Linked DNA regions of Drosophila melanogaster. The protein of the gene in region 3 interacts with the protein of the main gene of each other region in a pairwise test. Each region holds a gene or a part of one and is shown on either strand. Other genes may lie near its edges.

Evidence for each region. The genes of interacting proteins can lie anywhere in the genome.
Region 1: the proteins of bard (region 3) and zormin interact in a two-hybrid assay, tested with the Drosophila melanogaster proteins (one large-scale study listed by BioGRID).
Region 2: the proteins of bard (region 3) and GILT3 interact in a two-hybrid assay, tested with the Drosophila melanogaster proteins (one large-scale study listed by BioGRID).

What each region holds. Positions count from the first base shown.
Region 1 is NT_037436.4:2,148,127-2,154,916, reverse strand, and holds the start of zormin (zormin), read left to right. Parts: upstream 1-3,216; 5' UTR 3,217-3,307; intron 3,308-4,635; 5' UTR 4,636-4,827; coding exon 4,828-5,172; intron 5,173-6,790. Other genes in the region: CG15822 (uncharacterized protein), read left to right, coding at 1-438, 510-1,112.
Region 2 is NT_033777.3:23,674,172-23,679,495, reverse strand, and holds GILT3 (Gamma-interferon-inducible lysosomal thiol reductase 3), read right to left. Parts: upstream 2,139-5,324; 5' UTR 2,087-2,138; coding exon 1,859-2,086; intron 1,641-1,858; coding exon 1,332-1,640; intron 1,259-1,331; coding exon 1,145-1,258; 3' UTR 1,075-1,144; downstream 1-1,074. Other genes in the region: GILT2 (Gamma-interferon-inducible lysosomal thiol reductase 2), read right to left, coding at 1-112, 238-402, 469-528.
Region 3 is NT_033777.3:18,078,250-18,084,126, reverse strand, and holds bard (bard), read right to left. Parts: upstream 3,080-5,877; 5' UTR 3,007-3,079; coding exon 1,660-3,006; 3' UTR 1,544-1,659; downstream 1-1,543.

The DNA of each region.
Region 1 (6,790 bases), on a different chromosome or scaffold from region 3:
AAGGCCCTCATCCGCAACGACAGTGAAACATATCCGCATAGCGACTATACCGACAATGAAACACCATCGCACTCACGCACTGCCTCAGTGGATTCCGGAGCTCCCGATAATCCCCGTCTCTCTGGTGATTTTAGTGTCGTGGCCGATGAACTACCCCTGGATTGCACTGCACCAAGTCCACTCCATGACAGTGGAAGGACCAGCAGTGCTGGAAGCGAGATACCCGTGGAAACCCTGCCAGCTACTGTGCAAGTGGTGCCCACAGGCAGCAACGAACTGGCCTGCGCCGCCATTTCCCACAAGCTGGGAGCCATTGCCGAGGTAGCCGAGTCCCTGGACGCAGTCATCCGGGATGTCCAGCAGCAGGAGGGCGTTGTTAGCAATGGAATCAGCAATGTCACTGGAGGACATGGCATAAAAAAATTGGGAAGCATTGAGGTAAGTTTAAATAATAAAAATGTTGATTCTTTTTCCGTTTGTGTAAAATGGTACTAATCTCGTCGCTTTAGGATTGGCAATCGCGCTCCACCGAGGACGAATCCTTCGCCACTGCCTCCGAAGGCAACTTTACGCCGAACTCGCATTCCTCATCCTTTCAAACAGCCTCAGGACGCACTAGCTCCTACATAGGATCGGCCAAGAACTCCTTCGATGAGGCGGACGACTCAACTTTAAGCACATTCGAAATACCCGAACTACCACCTTCGCCAGTCAATATGTCCTTTGATAGCTCCGAAATGAGCTACTTCTCCGACCGTCAGCAGAGGATGAAAAGTGAAGATCAGGACAGTGTGGCGGGCATGGCAGAGCTGCATAGTCAGAGTGTAACGCCCACTCCGGACGAGGAGCAGCAACACCTGCTTCTGCCACTACCATTGCCGCAGGCCATCGAATCGGACAGCGAGGTGGAAGGATTCAATTTGGCCACTGGCATTACGACGGAGCTGGCGCCCAGGATGTCCAACGCCCACACGCCGGAGGTGAGCTACACATCGGCCAATAACACCGCTCCGGCTTCAACTAACCCCAACGAATCGAAACCGCCGCCTTCTTGGCGACGCAGCAAATACTACGAGAACATAACGAAACAGACGATCAAGGGATTTCTCTGAGAGATCTGGACAAGCTGTCCCAGTTGAAAGATGAACACAAAACGATTTCCCGCCCAATTAACCAGCGCCATTTGCTTCTCTGCCGATCCTCGACATTCTTGCCATTAATTAGTTGGCATACTATTTTTGCTGTTTTCCCAAAACCAATTTTAGCCCATGAGCTAAAAGTTTTTGTCTTTTTTATTTTGTTTGCCATTTTACTTTGCATGATTGTTCACTGTTTTCTACCAAAATTTATTAGTTCGATTGAACTTTAGCTTAAAAGATATACTAAAATGCCTGCGCAAAAGGTTTTTAAATATTTTATGTTTGAAAAATGTCTTTTGCTTATACTTTCTCTGCTTTAAATATAGTAGTAGAAATATTTATTTAGTTAGTTCAAATTAAGTCTAAGGCTTGCAAAAATTAGAGAATTCCCAAATGGTTAGAAAATATATTTAAAGTAAGAATTTAAATTCACTTACGGCCAGTCGAAATTTTTGCCATTAATCATATGTTTAATATTTATTTATAACTATTTCTCCCACACAGTCACAGTCACAAAACATAGTGCAATTAATATCGAACATGTTTTACCCCAAAAATAAAGCTAATCATTTATAATTTTTTTCAATACCTCCTAACTTTTCAGGTATTTAGTTTTAAATTTTATGCTTAAGCAAGTAAGTAACTCGTAACTGCAAAATTTGAATGTAATCTCGAAAATCCATGAAAACATTGCATAACTTTGGGCTGCATCCGTGAAAAGTCATTGCCATCATCTGCACTTAACCCTTGAGTGCTCTTTTGGACTTTTCCACCCTAAATAATTTTTTTCAATTTCCCTCTGTGGGTGGCCCTTTCCCCCAAACATTTAACAAGTGGTCCTCAAGTGATTTCAATTATCTGAAATGTGAACTGGCAGTGGGTGCAGCGGGGAAATGGGGTTAAGAGGGGTTGGCTGCTTTTGTGAGCTTCGTCAAGTGGCTCATTAATCTCAATTAAAAAACATATAAATAAATCGCTCTGAGTGTGGTGAGTGAGTGAAAAGAGTTTATACTTAACGAGCTGATCATCCAGAAAGGCGAACCAAATATCTATGAGATTCTTTTCATGCCATTCGACCAGATTTTCTGACGTGCCGGCGCTGAAAGCATAATTCGATAAGTTCGAATCGTTGATAGCGAAAAATAATAACACACATCTGCAGCGCATTGATTGCCGCAACTGCTGTTGCACGCAAGAAGCGTCGGATGTTGCACGTTGAATATTGCACGAAATCCGGAGCCAAAGCCAAAGCTGCAAGACACGCATTTTGGGTGAAAAATACTTCATAAATTGGGGTATAGAGCATCATGGGTGGTGAGGGGATTTAAATGCGGGCGGTCAGTCAGTTTGCCTTGCATTAAGACACGATATCGTCTGGTTTCCTCCGCTGCTCTGGTGTTGTTATTTTGATCTTCCACTCTTCACCATGTTATTAAAGTACAAAAGCTGCACTTGAATATGTTGTGGTTTAAGGTACCTCGTCTTATATGGGGTGTATAAGACCAACGAGGAAAAGGTCTAGCCAAGGGGAAAAATCATCCACACATAAGATGTTAAGTTAGATGAATATTCAAAAGTAAATGCGAATAAATAAAGTGAGGGCATAAGAGGGTAGCAACAGTTCGCTTAAAGTTACCCTTTATCATCAGAATTACAGGGTACAAGCTCGCTTCATATCGCTTTACCTTCTCTTCGTATTGTAATTGCTGAAAAGCCGGGCGCAGGGCATTAAAAATTGAAATCATGAATTAACGACGCCGCGAATGCCAAGAGCACTTGTTTATTTATGTCGTCTCCCCTGAAGCCCCGCATCTTGCCTCTTTCTCTAGCGTCTAGCGTCTCCAGCCCTCTCTTTCACACTCTCTCATTTTCAAAATACAAGCCGGCTTTTCAAAACTGAGCTTAGCCAGTGTCAAGAGATCAAAACAAGAGAACCGCTACCTGCATGAATGAATTGAGCGAATCGGTTAAGTTTCATGGGCTGCACGCTCTTTATCTCTTTCTGATCGGCTGTCTCCCGTAGAATCTGCTCAGTCTTCGGTCTCCGGTCTTCAGTCTTCCGATCATTTAGTCAGTCTTGTTCGAAGTTCGCGGCGTTCGGTTGTTCGGCTGTTGGGAAAGCGGCGCGCGCGTTTTGATTTTCCACATCTCCACCGCTCGAATATAATGTGCGAATAAAAACATATCTATGTAAATTAAGTTAGGCAGAAAACGAGGAAGAAAACAATAAATTTGGCACTTCAAAAAAAAAGCGAAATGAAACGTAAATTAATCAGCCATAATTTACCTAGAACATTTTTGACATTCAAAAATGCTTGGCGCTAGTTTTTTTTGCGTTCACTCGTCTAAAGATGAAATCAACAATCTGTGCTAAATTTATTGTTGTTGTCGAATATTCAGTTTTGTGACGACCCTCAGAAAGCACAAACAAAATGTTTAACAAATAGAAAACGACACAGAATGCGCGAAAAAAATATTTTTCAAAAATATTCGGTGACCTGATGCATTGAAAGCTTATTTGTTTGAGTCATGTGCATATTTCAATATACTACAACAGTCCACGCCCCAGAAAATTTCAATCAACAATTTTCCATTTTTTTTTCTTTTAAATTTTTTGGACAACAACATATGGAGGCAAAGCATTTCCTCGATTGCGCTACTGTAAACTTTTATAAAGGGAACTTGTTCTTCCCAATTTTTGGTTTGCTGCTTATTTTTAGACAGCGCAAAGTACAATTAAAATAGTTTACATTACGCCAGCAACGGCGGCGACTATTAAAAATTGAGAGAAACACCAAAAATTACCTAATGGAGGCAGCTGGCTGCACACGAGCATACGCGGCGTATGCGTAATGTATTCAAAAATATCGAAAAATCCATGAAAAATGACTGACTGGCGACGACTTCTGCCAATGCAATTGGCACATGTTACAGATTTGACGAACATCCGCGCGCTTTATCTATTAGCTATAGTAGCCTGTATCTGTAGCATCGCAGTATCTGAGTATCTGGGCTAGAACAACAGTTTAGCTTCGTGGCAGAAATCGCCGCAAAAAATTACTCAATAGTTTGTTGTTTTAAAAATAAACGCGAATCGAGCATTGTCTTTGAGTTTTGGCGGGGCGGGGGGCTACCGAGGTTCTACAACGAGACTAGCACACGCATCAAAGGCAATTTTCTCAGGCTCAATATGCAAAAAGTACACACGATTCTCTCGGCTATATAGCCGTATATATAGACACTACGGAATAATAAACAGACACTAGAGCGACAGGGAGAGCGCGAGTATGAAGTCATAGTCATCGCGGCGGGCAAAAAGAATTCTCCGTTTCGAAAATCTACCGATTCGCGGAGGTTCTCAGACGATCGCCGGCGTTGATAGCGCTCGCAACGAAACGAAGGAACCGCCGAATCGAATCCCCTGGCTATAACTAATCCCAATAAATTAAATCCGAACGCGAGTGACTCAATCTAATAGTTCCACTTTTTCGAGCAGAGTTCAAAATGCAAAACACGAGACACAAGCAGGGGAAGTAAGCCAAAATACGAGAAAAACTAAACGACAGAGATTATAAAACGCCCACGCAAAACACACCAAACTACAAGCACTCACTCAATCCTCGAAAGTTAGTCAAAAAAAAAGAAAACAGAGAGAAGTAGAGACGAGCAGATAGAAAGAAAAGCAACCATGGAACGCCGCCAAGCCCTAGACTCATCGATGTCTTCGCTCTACTCGGTCGCCTCCTCCTCGAATCCCAATCCCCGCCAGCCGCACACCGGCCACCAACTTCAGACGCAGCAATCCCAGCAATCTCAGCAGTCCCAGCTAGACGCCTTCAATTATTCAGCAACAATGTCATCATCGTCGCCGACTCCAAGTCAGGCCATGTCCACAGCCATGTCCACGGGCACGGGCACCGGCACCGGCACCACCCACACCACACCACCATCCTCCTCCTCCCTGAGAGCCACCACCATTGGCACCGTTGTCGTCCGATGCGGACCCATCCAGCTGGTGATAGCGCTCCTACAAGTGAGTTGTACTCTTGTACCCCGCAAACAATAAAAATAGTAAACTAAAAAACGAAACGAATCCAAACAAAAAACACACAGCAAAAAGGCCAAGAAATGGGAAACAAACATGAAGAAACATTTATCTAGATACGGGAGAAGTGTTCGGAGAAAGCTCTTGAAGTGCGCGGAAATTTATGCGGAAGGCGATCTGGGAGGACTTCAAAAGAGATTTGGGACGGGGCATTGGGAGATCTTGAATAAATCATAAATCTAGAAGTGCAGTCAGGTTTCGAAAACACGGGGAAACATCTAGGATAAGCTGTGGTCATTGAAACATCTTATGAAAAAAGTTGCATTCGACTCAGTTTTATGTGAAGCTATAAAAATCCATAACAACCAATTAAGCCAGTCTAAATATATTAACCTTTTTTTTCAATATAAATGAGCTTATCATTTGAATGACGACATAATCTTTGTTCATTATTAATGACAGTGCAATTATATATTTACATTTTTTTCATTTTGCGTAGTGGGGCAAAAACAGTCTGAGAGATGTAAAGCAAAGAAAATAGTTCAATAGATACATTATCTCAGATTGTTATCAAATCATTTTTCAATCAATTTATCACTATAAAACAACGTTCGACTATTATTAAATGGCCCAGCCTCCAACCAAGCAAATGTTCACTACCAATCGGTCGACATTAATTGATAAATTTCTATAATTATCCCATAGCTAGCCCCTTCGGATCTGAGGCAAAACTATGTGACTTTAGCACTGAAAAATTCATGAACTTCTAATGCCCAAAACTGGCTTACAATTTTCGATTGTTTAAACCGGCTTCCAGCGATTTCCGCGCCAATTAGCACTCGAACAACGAAAGCAAAAGTTGTTGATAGCGGTTATAAATATTTGAAAAACGGCAGCAGAAAAACAAACGCCACAAAAGGTTCAAGGTTGTCTGACATCAGAGCAAAGACACAAAAGCCAACTAAACGTGACAAAAAGAAATGTATCTGCCAGATACTTTCGACAATTAGGCGCAGCTGCTACCTGTCTGGGTCCATTTCGAGCTGGCAGAATCAGTTTCTTCAGAGAGAAACTTTGTTTGGGTCTTCTCCGCAGATTTGCCCCCTTTTCCAACCCCTCCAAATCGCTCGAACTTGAAGATGCGACTTGAACTTGAGATTGAGAAACATTTCTGATGAAGCGCTACAAGTTTTATGCCCCGAAACAAAAAACATTCAATAATTATGGGCATCGGTGAATGGTTTATGGGCTTTTGCGGCAAGGGGCAAGGGGACTGTGCCCCTTTTTGCACCACCTTTTCTGTTCATTCAACCAACGGATCATTGAAATTTCGGTGTGCCACTTTGTGCCATTTTTTTTTTTTTTTTGCTGGCCATCAGAATAACTATTTTTGCTTCATATGCCATTCGAGACTCACGGCTCCATGTGTTAAACATTTGATTTGATTTACAACTTTTTCCCCCCTCCACTTTTGATTCTGAAAATTATGCAAAAACATTTTACTGACGAGCCTTTCAACACGTTTCTGTTGTATACGTGTACTCGTGTTTCCATGAATTGAAAACTCGCGACCCCAAAAATATACAGATTTCTTTAAATTTCCGCT
Region 2 (5,324 bases), 5.6 Mb from region 3:
TCAGCTTGAGGGATTGGGCAATGTCATGGTGCTCCAGTATGCAGGCGTGCCACGCGTTCAATTCGCACTCCATCACTCCGTGCTGGCACTCCACATTTCCGTCATCGTTCGTCTGGAGGGGATTAAGCGAAGTTTAAGTGCGGATTAACGCTGATTGACACTCTAAAACTTCAAATTGAGCTATACTATGTACTTGTACTATAACTACTAGTTTAAGCTACGAAAAATGAAACCTACCCTGGCATTTCCATAAGGAACCAGCGTAAGATCAGTGAATGGAAGTCGATCCTGACGGACCATCGAGGGATTGAGCTGCGTGGTCACGAACTCCATGCAGTAGGGACACAATGCTTCGTAGTACAGGGTGATCGCCAGTCGGTCAGCTTGCGGTCCGCGCAAACGCTGCAAAGTCACGATCAATGGGAGCGTCGCAATTCGGGATTCAGTCCGATCAACTGGGTCACTTACCCTTGGCGTGGCCACGCCCACCCATCCCAGCAGCAGACACACAAAGACAGCCGCCCTCATGGCAAATTCAGTTTAATCCCGAGCTGATCTTGAAATATTCGGCCGCTCAACGCCAGCGAACGCTCGACACTGAAATAATTCCGGGACTTGTAATGCGCAGCGTTGTCACTGCGTTTCGTCAAATTCGAAGCGGCCAGTGGCGTGGTTAGAAAATGCTCAAGGGGGGCTCAAAAATCATATAAGTTAAAAAAAAAATAATTATTTGTATTGCAATAGTAGGGTGACTTTTCGCTTGTTTTTTATAATTTTTCTGTAATATATCCGCTTTTGAAAAAATTAATATAAATATATAGATAAAGGGTGTGACTAGCCAACCAATTCGACGCCCCTGCTGTCAACCAGCATTTTCCCCTTTACATTTATGCGCTGACTACGGAAAACTTACTGAGCAGCGGGGTTTTAATCTTATTTTTAGACCACCAGACAGCTGTTTCTGATTAGAATCTGTATACAAAAACATGACTGATAAGCTGATATGTATATACTATACACATGTAAATTTTTATTGGCCCCAAGTGAGTCAGCGAGTAAGCAAACACTCCAGTTGGTTATAATTATTGTTTATTGGTCTTGGAACATTGAAACAGTTAAATTACTCAGTACATTACATAAAAGTTTACAAAATTGCGGAACAAGTGGGCAGTTTGATGTTGAACTTTTTCAGATACTGCCGACAGAAGTGTCTTTCGAAGTTGTTGCGAATGCTTCTCTGGTCGTAAGGATCAAAGTCCTGCGGATCAGAGGGTAATGTTAAGTTAAGTCTGGTATTTGATCATGTAAGCCTGGTTGGGTTGGTTACTCACATTCTCGAACACAATGGTGGGCACAAAGGAGATGCCCAGTTTAAGGGTTTCCTTGCCGTAGGGCGCCAGTATTTCTGCCGTGGTTCGGGATGCCTTACACTCCCTGGCCTTGCTGACGTCCACACCCATGCTCCTCGAGCACGGGCCCAGCTCATTCGAATAGGAGCGCAGCATGCAGTAGATCAGATTGAAGGCCTTCCGAATGTCCAGGGTCTCAATAATGCAGGCATGGAGTGCATTTAGTTCGCACTCATCCACGCCATGCTGACAAAATACTTGGCTCTCGCCAGTGGATGTGTTGTTGTAGAACTGCACGTAACAAATTCTGGTTTAAAACCTCAAAAAACATGAACTATTTCACGATCTACAAACAAATTGTGTGTGTGTATTTCAGTTTATTGCTGTTTTTTTTTTAATGTAAATACAAATGGTTTTCGAAATGAACTGCTAATGAATTCGAAATGAGTACTAAAGAAATGACTATAGTATGCATAAGAATTCTATCATTTTGATCTTAGCTGACTCACCCCCGCCTTGCCAAATGGATATAGCTTTAGATCGGTGACCGACCACCAGTCGTTGTCCTGCAGAGCATCGTACAATCTGCGCCGGATGAAGCTCATGCTGTCCGGGCACAGGGCCTCGTAGTGAATGGCCACCAGGAGCCGGGACTCATCCGGGGACTGGCCATTTCCGGGCGTGGGCCAAACGAGCAGCAGACACAGGGTAAACAGTAGCCCAAATATTTTATTCATTGTCCGCGTTCGTTTTTCGCTCTTGGCAGCCTCACAAACCAAACACAACTGCTCTTTTCAACTTGCCCATTTCACTTGCGCCGCTCCATGGAAACAATCACGCACATCTGTGACATTCACACAAATACACGCTCGCCTCCTATATATATATATATATACGTGTATGTATATATATATATATATTATATATTTGTTCTTTCTCTCCCATTTCTCCCGCCATCGAACGAACAATTGCTCTGCGCAAATATCGTAGCATCAACTGGCCATATATCTCTAATCTCTGGTCTCTAATCAGAGAGAACTGGCATACGGCTGCGGCTTAACCCATTGAACTCTTGGACTTCAGATAAGGCAGGAGCTAATAATGTTTATTAAAATGTTTGCATATATGTATGTACATATTTATATGTTAATAGTATGTTTTTAAGATTTAAGAGCTTTGTCCAGAGCGAATGCAAATAGGTATTATTTCTCTTCAAGCGAAACAAATACCTAAAATAAATGAATGCTGGTTAAAACAAGTTAAACAGCAGAACTGAAAATTACTTAATAAATTTACTTATCGTTTGCAGCGTAAATAAAATAACTTAATAGCATGCAAAGTCAAGTGCAGCGAGTTATCAAATGGTGGTACTAATTAAATAATGCCAGCAATTGAACTAATTGAATTAAAATGCTCAGCGAGTAAATTTAGCTATTAATTAATAATTGATTATTGCCAGATAATTCTATTAAAGGCATGACTACGCAACTAATATAAGGTATAATACCTATAGCATGTAGAAACTAAAACCTGAATTAAGTCATACGGAATAACTTTAGAACCGGACCGAAAAATGGGTTAATGGCCAAAACGGTGCGATTGCCACATTTTCGCTGGCCAGTGGCAATCATAATGAGTGTTGTGGGCTTATCAACAATTTAAGCGTAACAAGTTCAGTGCACCGCCATGTCGCCTGGTTGCTAATTGACAGACCGGCAATGGCTCCATTTGGCTAGCGTGCCCCTTGGAGGCCGGTCCAAAACGGTGTTTTTGCTTTGTATATTATTATGTAGTCTTTTTTTTTGTTTTGTTTTTTATTTTGGCCCGCAAACCAGTTGTTTGTGGCGCATATATAGATGTAACTGTCGCACAAGTTGCCGGCCGAATGCCATTGACCATCGCCACCAAGCGGCCTAAACGTGATCGCAAACGTGGCCGTTGAGCAATTTCAATTTCTTACTAATTTTCTTTGGCTCTTAATTGGCCAGGAAAATGTTTGGGATTGTTGGCCAGCACTTTTATGGGCACGTCATCGCATCGCATCGCATCGCGGAGCGTGTTTTTCATGGTCAAGGTTTGCACGCAAGAATGCCTCCGGCTAAGTGCACGGCAAAAAAAAAAAAAAAAAAAAAAAAAATGGAAAGGGATCCAACTAGATGTGGAGCCAATCCGAGTTACATCACTTTTCATATTTTCCCATGCATATGTAATTTCTATCAACATGGTCGGTTTTACATGAATATTCAGTGTATCCTTTCTACCAACCATGTTGCATGCAATTTGGTGAAAGATCGATCGTCAAGTGATTGCTAGCAAATATTAATTGGCTGCATATCGCTGAATTTTATTATATTTTTTTTATAATATTTTATTATATATTAATGCAATTTTTTAGATATTAACATGTGCATTGGGATATTGATAAACTATTGTAAACTATTTAACTTGGTTCTGAGCTACATTCCACTATTTTAGCACTGAACCTAACTAACTTTTTAACTAACACTAGCATTTTTTTTTCGGTGCATCTCTTCTTATTGTTTAATGTGCAGGTGCAAATGCAACCACTGAACATCGCGGAGCTGCAACTTCCCATCAAAGACCGCTCTGCTGAAAGAGAGATGAGAAAAGCGACAGTATTTATGACGCGTCTCGCAGATTTCCGCACAATTAGTTGGCCCGAGTTTCCCGATCGTCGGCGTGTTGCAGCTGCAGTTAACCCAAATCGCTTCTTGGCCAACTGGGCTGGCCAGTCCATGGATCACAGAGACTGGACGCCAACGCTTTTGTGGCCCAGAGGCAATAGCACGAGTAACGTTTATCGACGGCCCCTCGATCTGAATCCAAATCGGAGTTTGAGTTGGAGTTGCAGTCATAGTCTGAAATTGCCGTCTTAGTTCGTTCCAGTTTCTGGAGTCGTTTGTTGTGTTATTTTTTCGCTTCTTCTAATTTGCATTTTTATAGATTCGCCAGTTTTTCGCCGTTGTTTCGTGGTTTTGATGGCGATATAAAAGGGGTATTATTAGTCTAGGCAAAAGTGGGCAGAACAATGATTATGGGTTTATTATAGGTTCTGCCAGGCGAACCTTGTGAAATTGAAGCAACAGATTTCATAGTTCAGCTAACCAAATTTTAAAATGAAAGTTTCTTTCAAATAAAGAAAAACCTTTGTATAAGAACTTTTTTCACATCAACGTAGCTTCAATAGTTTTTTATAACTACCAAGTGTATTTAAGCTTCGACTCATATTTTTTACTGCGTTTTTTAGTCTTCAAAGTTTTGTGGCATTGCCAGTTCTTGTTGCAACATTTTAACCGCAAAACCAATGAAGCCGTGCCAGTCGTATTTTATTGTTGTCTTTTTTTTTTTGTTGATCTTGTTTAGTTTGCCGAAAACGCATTGGGCCGCAAACTTAACCCTTGAGGAAACTTTGGTCAACTACTAATAATAAGTGCTTACAAAGAGCCCATAAATATTCTCGTCGTTAATTAAAATTTTGCGAAAATCTTATCTATCTACTTTGATTGATTTTTTTTCGGCAAAGTGAAAGTTTTGCACATGGTCTAAAAATACATGCGATGAGTTCTCGATGTATTTTAAACGCAATTAACTGAAGTTAAAAGTAAACGTGACTCACGGTAGCTTCACCTTAAACGAAATTAATAAGAAGTAAAGCGGGTCCGTTTGCACCTATTGGCCCATGTTAGTGTTAAAGCCAGCATTTGGTGGCTGATTTTCGAGTGAAAAGTAAAGAGAGGCTTTAGTGGGTCACGGTGGACCAGTTTTGCAGTTTTTTACCAGACCCCGTCCAGGAAGAAATTTGGTTAAATATCACTTCTTTTCTCTTTTTCCGCTGCCACAGCCTTTCTCCGCCTGTCGACCATGCAACTGTGGATCGGGTTTGTATCCAAAGTGGTTGCATTGGGTCCTCCGCCTTCAGCTACATGCGAAGCAGATCCGTTCTACCTACTGGCA
Region 3 (5,877 bases):
CTTTTATGTTTAATTTAATTATGGTAAAATCAGCTGGTGCTAGGCTGCCTCATTTCGATTAATTTGATTCGATTCGATTTCATTAACAAGCTTGCTCTGCAAATCCACAAAGTTGTGGCATCGAACCAATTTTGGGGCTTAAAAGTCAAGAAATCCTCGTGTTCGCGTTCCAATTTCACCTACAAATTCGTTACACTTGGGACAGGTTGTAGATGACCCTTTGATTGCCATCACCATGACGAATTGTGTGCCCTAGTGTCATGTTAAATAAAATTGATAGAGAAATTAGGCAAAATGCTTAAGTTGGGTTGGAGTGCGAAGATGTAGCGGAGCGGCCTTTTAATTGGGTCGCATTAGTTTTGGACCTTAAGTGGTGCATATGTCAAAGAAATGCCCCTGCAATTAGTCAATTAATGAAAAACCAATAGATATGCGGCTAACACAAGTCGATAGCCAAAAAAAAGGTCTATCCCCCCCAAAAAAAAAAAAAACGTTTGGAAATGGCAACTACGCCAGTTGGTCGGTCAGTTGGTCAGTCGATCTCTGGTCTCCTCCGTTGGCCATAAATTAATAGTCCATTATTTCTAAATTTTGTCCACTTCAAACTGTCGTCGCCGAGTCGCCCAGAGCCAACTGACTGCCCTCGTTTGCATTTTAATCTCTTGATGGGGCGATGGGGGCCACAAATTAGTCCGGACCCCACTTTGTGTTGACTTGCCAGTGCGGCCAATAATTTAGGCCGACAGACGCGATCGGCTCACGTAATGTTGGAAAACGAAAGCAAAACTATGCTCTTTTTCCCAAAAGCCATATTTTTTTTCGAAGAGAAAAGTTATGTAAATCATTCAGCCAGGCGCACATTTTTTCAAAATTGCTTAATTTCCTTCACGTGCAAGTACGCATGGGATAGTTATCGTTTATAGTAGATATGTTATGGGATATTATGTTATAATCCAGAAGGCTAGACTACCCTGTGATTATCCTTTCCGATCGGAAACCTCATAAAACAAAGTTTACATATTCATTATGGAATAACCAAAATATTAACAATTACACACAAATTATAGTTAAACATCTATAATCTAGCTTATTTGAAAGCAGTTGTATTGCGCCAACCCTGAAGTAAGAGAGCCAAATCCCCAATGCCATGCCAAACTTCACTTCTTTTGGCCAGTTGGCCAATGGTCAGGAGTTTCGGTGATCGGGGAACTGAGCCGGACAGTCGGCAAAGAGCTTTGGGCACTTTGCGAACTCATTTTCCGACTCAATCAAATCAAATAATTTATGCCTCGCGAAATTAACTGGCCATGTGAGTGGAGGTCATGCCACATGTGAGGAGAGTCCAAGAAGCCATGACGGCAACTTGGGGCCCAAAGCACAGTTAAATCTTTTCGCTGGCCATAAAGTGTGTTGATTTTTCCATTTGCCAGACCCTAAAGCGCTGCAATGCGAAATAAATAAATGTTTGCCGTTGAAGGAGAGACCTCTTGGAAAATTGCCTGCAATCGGGGAGTGTTTGAGAATGAAAATGTGCGTTGCTTTTGATTTAGCCAGTGCGTCTTATTTATATACAATAGAAAATATAAAAAATTACAAAATTCATGAAAAAAAATATTTGTTTAGGAGTATATACAATTGGTAAAATTGTTGAGCTGTTATTCACTCAAAATCAAACTCGAAACCATCCTCCTGATATTCGTATTCGCTGCTGTCACAGGTGACCTGAACATATTTGTTGCTCTGCCAGTGATAATATTCCTCGGGTGTGAAGTTGCCCCACATCATGTCGCTGAACACCTGCAGTGGTCTGGGATTCCTTTCCTGATTGCGAATATTCACGAGCTTAGTAAGTTTCTCCCAGTTGCTGTGGTAGCCGTTCAGAGCCAAGTGCTCCAGATTGACGCACTCGGCGACCAGTTCCAGGAGCTGAGTCTCCCGCACAATCTCCCAGCCACTGAAGCTGAGCACCTCCATTTGTTGGCAGGGCATGTGCTGGCGATCCAGGAAGAAATCATTGTGGCACCAATTCTCGCATATCACCTTCCTCAGCTTGGGCAGTTCGAGGAGCAAACTTTGCTGCCACCGAGCTGGCAATTGAACCACTTCGTTGTTCAGGGCAATTCGGGTGATCCTTTCGCTTTTGGCCACCACAATCTGCTGGAAGATGGTCTCCTGATCTGCGTTCAATTGCCGCGAATCATCGAATCGCACGGATAGTTTCTGTAACTTGGGCAACTGCAGCACCTCCGATAGCATGCATTCTACGGTGCTCAAGTTGATTTTTAGCACTTCCAGATTGGGCAATTTGATGTCTGTGAGTCTCACACAACTGTCGAACTGATCGGTAATGTCAAGGACTCTCAAATTGGTCATTGTCAGACAGATATCCTGAATCCAGCGGCTATCCAATGGCACCGAATGGTACAAGGAGTTGAATACCAGCTCCTCCAACTTCTTGAAGCCACGCATATATAAGCCAGATAGATTCATGCAGGTCATTAGGCGCTTGAGATTGGGCAACATTACCGTCAAGTCGCGGATGTCCTCATCGACCACTGTGTTGGGATTGCCCGCCAATATGCAAGTGTCCACCTTGGGAAACTTGGTGATATTGATATCGCACAGGTGTGTGATATAGTCGTAGAATTCAGAAAAGGAACCAACGCCGTCGTGAACGTGCAGATCCGTGAAGCTATCAGCCATGTGTTCCATAAAGAAGACATAGTCATCGATGTCCAGGAGTCCAAGGAATGGTGTATTTGGACCGATGATCAGGTGCAGTCGCCTCTGCCAGAACTTGAGAATCTGTGGCATGAACTGTGGATAGGCCCTAGCCATGCGTACCTGATCGATCAGATTGTCGATCTCTTCGAAAATCTGCTCGAAAAATATAATGTGCAGGTTGTCGATGTAGTTCGGTTCAATTTCCTCCATCGGTGAACAGGTATTATTTTGCTGGGCAACCAGAGCGTCCTTGTAGAATGCGGTATTGTGCATTTGCGACATTGTATGTATTGTCTGTCAAATGTGATGACTGCTGTGTGTTGCTTCCTCGAAGGCTGCTGTTGGTTGAATGTGCTCTTGTTTTGATGAATCTAAGTTTTTATGCAAATTTAGGTAGTGCATTTAGTGAGGGAGTGAATCAGGTAGTAGTGGGGAAGGATTACCCAGTGTCCTTATCTCTTTTGCAGGCTAATCCTTTGGCAACAGCTGTGCCAGCTTTCAGTAGTAGTTACCTGTAGTTACCTGATCTGTAGGATCGCGCCATGATCGCGCCGGTCCTCATAAATTGCGCCGTCGTATACTGCCTGCAATTTGTAAGCCTGCGCTGTTGTTGTTGCTGCAGAAAAAAAACCCTATCTGTACAGTTATCGCTAGAGAGACTCACTAGTTTGCATATTACACGAACCCAGACGTGTTCCCAGCCAACTTCTCTAGCAACTGCCCTGTTCCAGTCCAGAATCTTGGCCGGATGCGTTGGACAAAACGTGGTCAGCATTCGGCTTTGCCTGGCTTGGCTTCTAGGAAATGCTAACAACTCTCGCAGAGGAATCGTAAACGAAGAACAGTCCCACCAAATGGAATAGAATAGAATGGAATGGATTCTGTGCGAGCTTCAACGATCTAATAATCAAAGCCATGTGTTTTTGTCTGGCAGCTTAGCGAGCGATTAGAGGAATCACAATCACAGAAGACACTGAAAAAGAAACTGCACAGTTTATTATCCGAAGAAATACATTTTCTTTTAAAGATACAGTGTTAGAATTATCTTTATATTAAGGGAGAAACGTAGCTGATGAAAACTGTCGAAGCGATTAAAAGCGAATCCTTTTCACTAAAGTATGTCCAAGGAATATATATGTTAAAAGTAAATGTTATAAGATCACAAACCTTTGTTAATAATATATTTAACATATAATAAATTGAAAAAATCATATATAGGAAAGTAAAATATAAAAATATCAAAAATTGAGGTACATTCTTAGTTTGATTTCCTTTAAAATCTAGTAAAATTTTGCTAGGATAGACTTAAGTACAATTATTAAATAATTTTTGTGAGTGTTGAAGAAGGTTCACACCGTTTCCCGGACAAACTTGTACAGTTGCCCTGCGTTTCCCATTGATAATTCTTGGATACCCTCTGTTGTCAATTGTCATTGGGTTGGCTTTTGTCCAGGGACTAATGGCATTGTTGTCAGCCTTGTGTGCGTCTATGGCCTGTCAAAGCATAAAACTGGGCAACAGACAATGCTGACAATCTTGAGCGGGGAGCCAACTTCTTAATGTAGATATAATGCACATTTCTATTTTGGCCCGGTTGGTGAAAATATTTTCATTTGTTCATATTTTTCAACAACTTTGTTGGCTACACCTCAAATCTGATGTTTATGAATTCTCAGCGACTCTGTTTTCTTCTTTTGGGAAAACGTTGCTTCACACGAGATTTGGAAAACGGGTTGGGGTATATCTCTGATGCAAATGCACTTGTCTCTGGTATTCGTTTTTTTCGGCTATAATATACTTTTTTTTTTTTTTTTGGTTGGTCTCTGTTTGACTGTCTTATCTGAGATCAGTGTCGATCAAGGCAGCAGACGAATTGGGAAACATGACATACCGAAGTATGTGTATGTATGTGTATATGTATGAGGGACTCGAGACTGTTTTAATAATTTTGACGTAATCACATCACAACAATCTACCGTGGAGGCTGTTGGCTTTTGACTTTTCCTGACTCCCAAGTGGACAGTTCTTTTTAGCCTCGATCTCTGCCTGATTTGTTCATTTAAATGAATTACAATATTTTATCTTTACACAGAGATCGTTGGAGCTTAAAACGCTGTTCACATACATATCTCCTTTGCATTATTTGCAGGTAAATAAAAATGAAAAAGTTGAGAACTTTCCAAGCATCATCTGCCTGAAATTCCTATAGCCATAAAAACCGGGACGGCACAAAAGGATCAGGCGGCGGCTGAAATACAGCTGCCACTGTTAAATCAGGTAAGCCCTTTTGGCCAAATTACTTCACACCTCCGTACTGACAAGCCAACACGATCGGTAGCCGTTGCCGCTGCCAGGAAAAAAAAAAAAACGTAAGTGCACGTTTTTTAATTCATTTGTTCTAAAACTTAATCAGCCAGTACGAAAAGAGGAAGACTGCGTTTTTTGGGCAGAGACAAGAAGTCGTGATTGCGCAACTCATAACTCACACACAAGCCAACTTGAACTTGGCTGGCTTTTTGTATTATATATATATATATATTTTTTTTTTAGCTTCTTCTTCGCCTTCTGCTGCTTACATTGTTTAATTAAAAACGAGGCTGTTGTTGCCGCTGCGGCTGCTGTTGCTTTTGCAACACGTACCACGATGATGACAACAACTGCTGCAGCAGCGCAACTGCAACACCAGCAGCAGTAGCGGCAGCAACATCAAGACACACTCTTCAGCTGAAGGGGCAGCACTTCAAGTGGCTCAAAAGGACGACACGTTTTGGCTTCTGTGTAGAGCCGTTGTTAGCTGCGGCTAGCAGTTTGCAGTTGCAGTTGCAGTTGCAGTTGCTGTTTGCAGCTTGCTGCTGCCATGGTGAAGTGGAAAGCAGTAGCTGCAACGGCAGCCAGAAGAGGCGCGCCACTTGCCACAATTACCGGGACGGGACTTTCAGCGAAACTCCGTAGTCGTCTGTCTGCGGCGGCTGCTTAATTTTCAGACAGCCAAGCGATTATATTGCTCCAGAAATATACGAAAATGATGGTTGAGATACTCTTTCCAAGAGGGTATAACCATTAGCTATTAAGTATTAATAATATGAATCTAGAAACAATCTTAACTTATCTCATTTCCTAGAAACTACCAACAATTTTTACGTTAGTTGTACT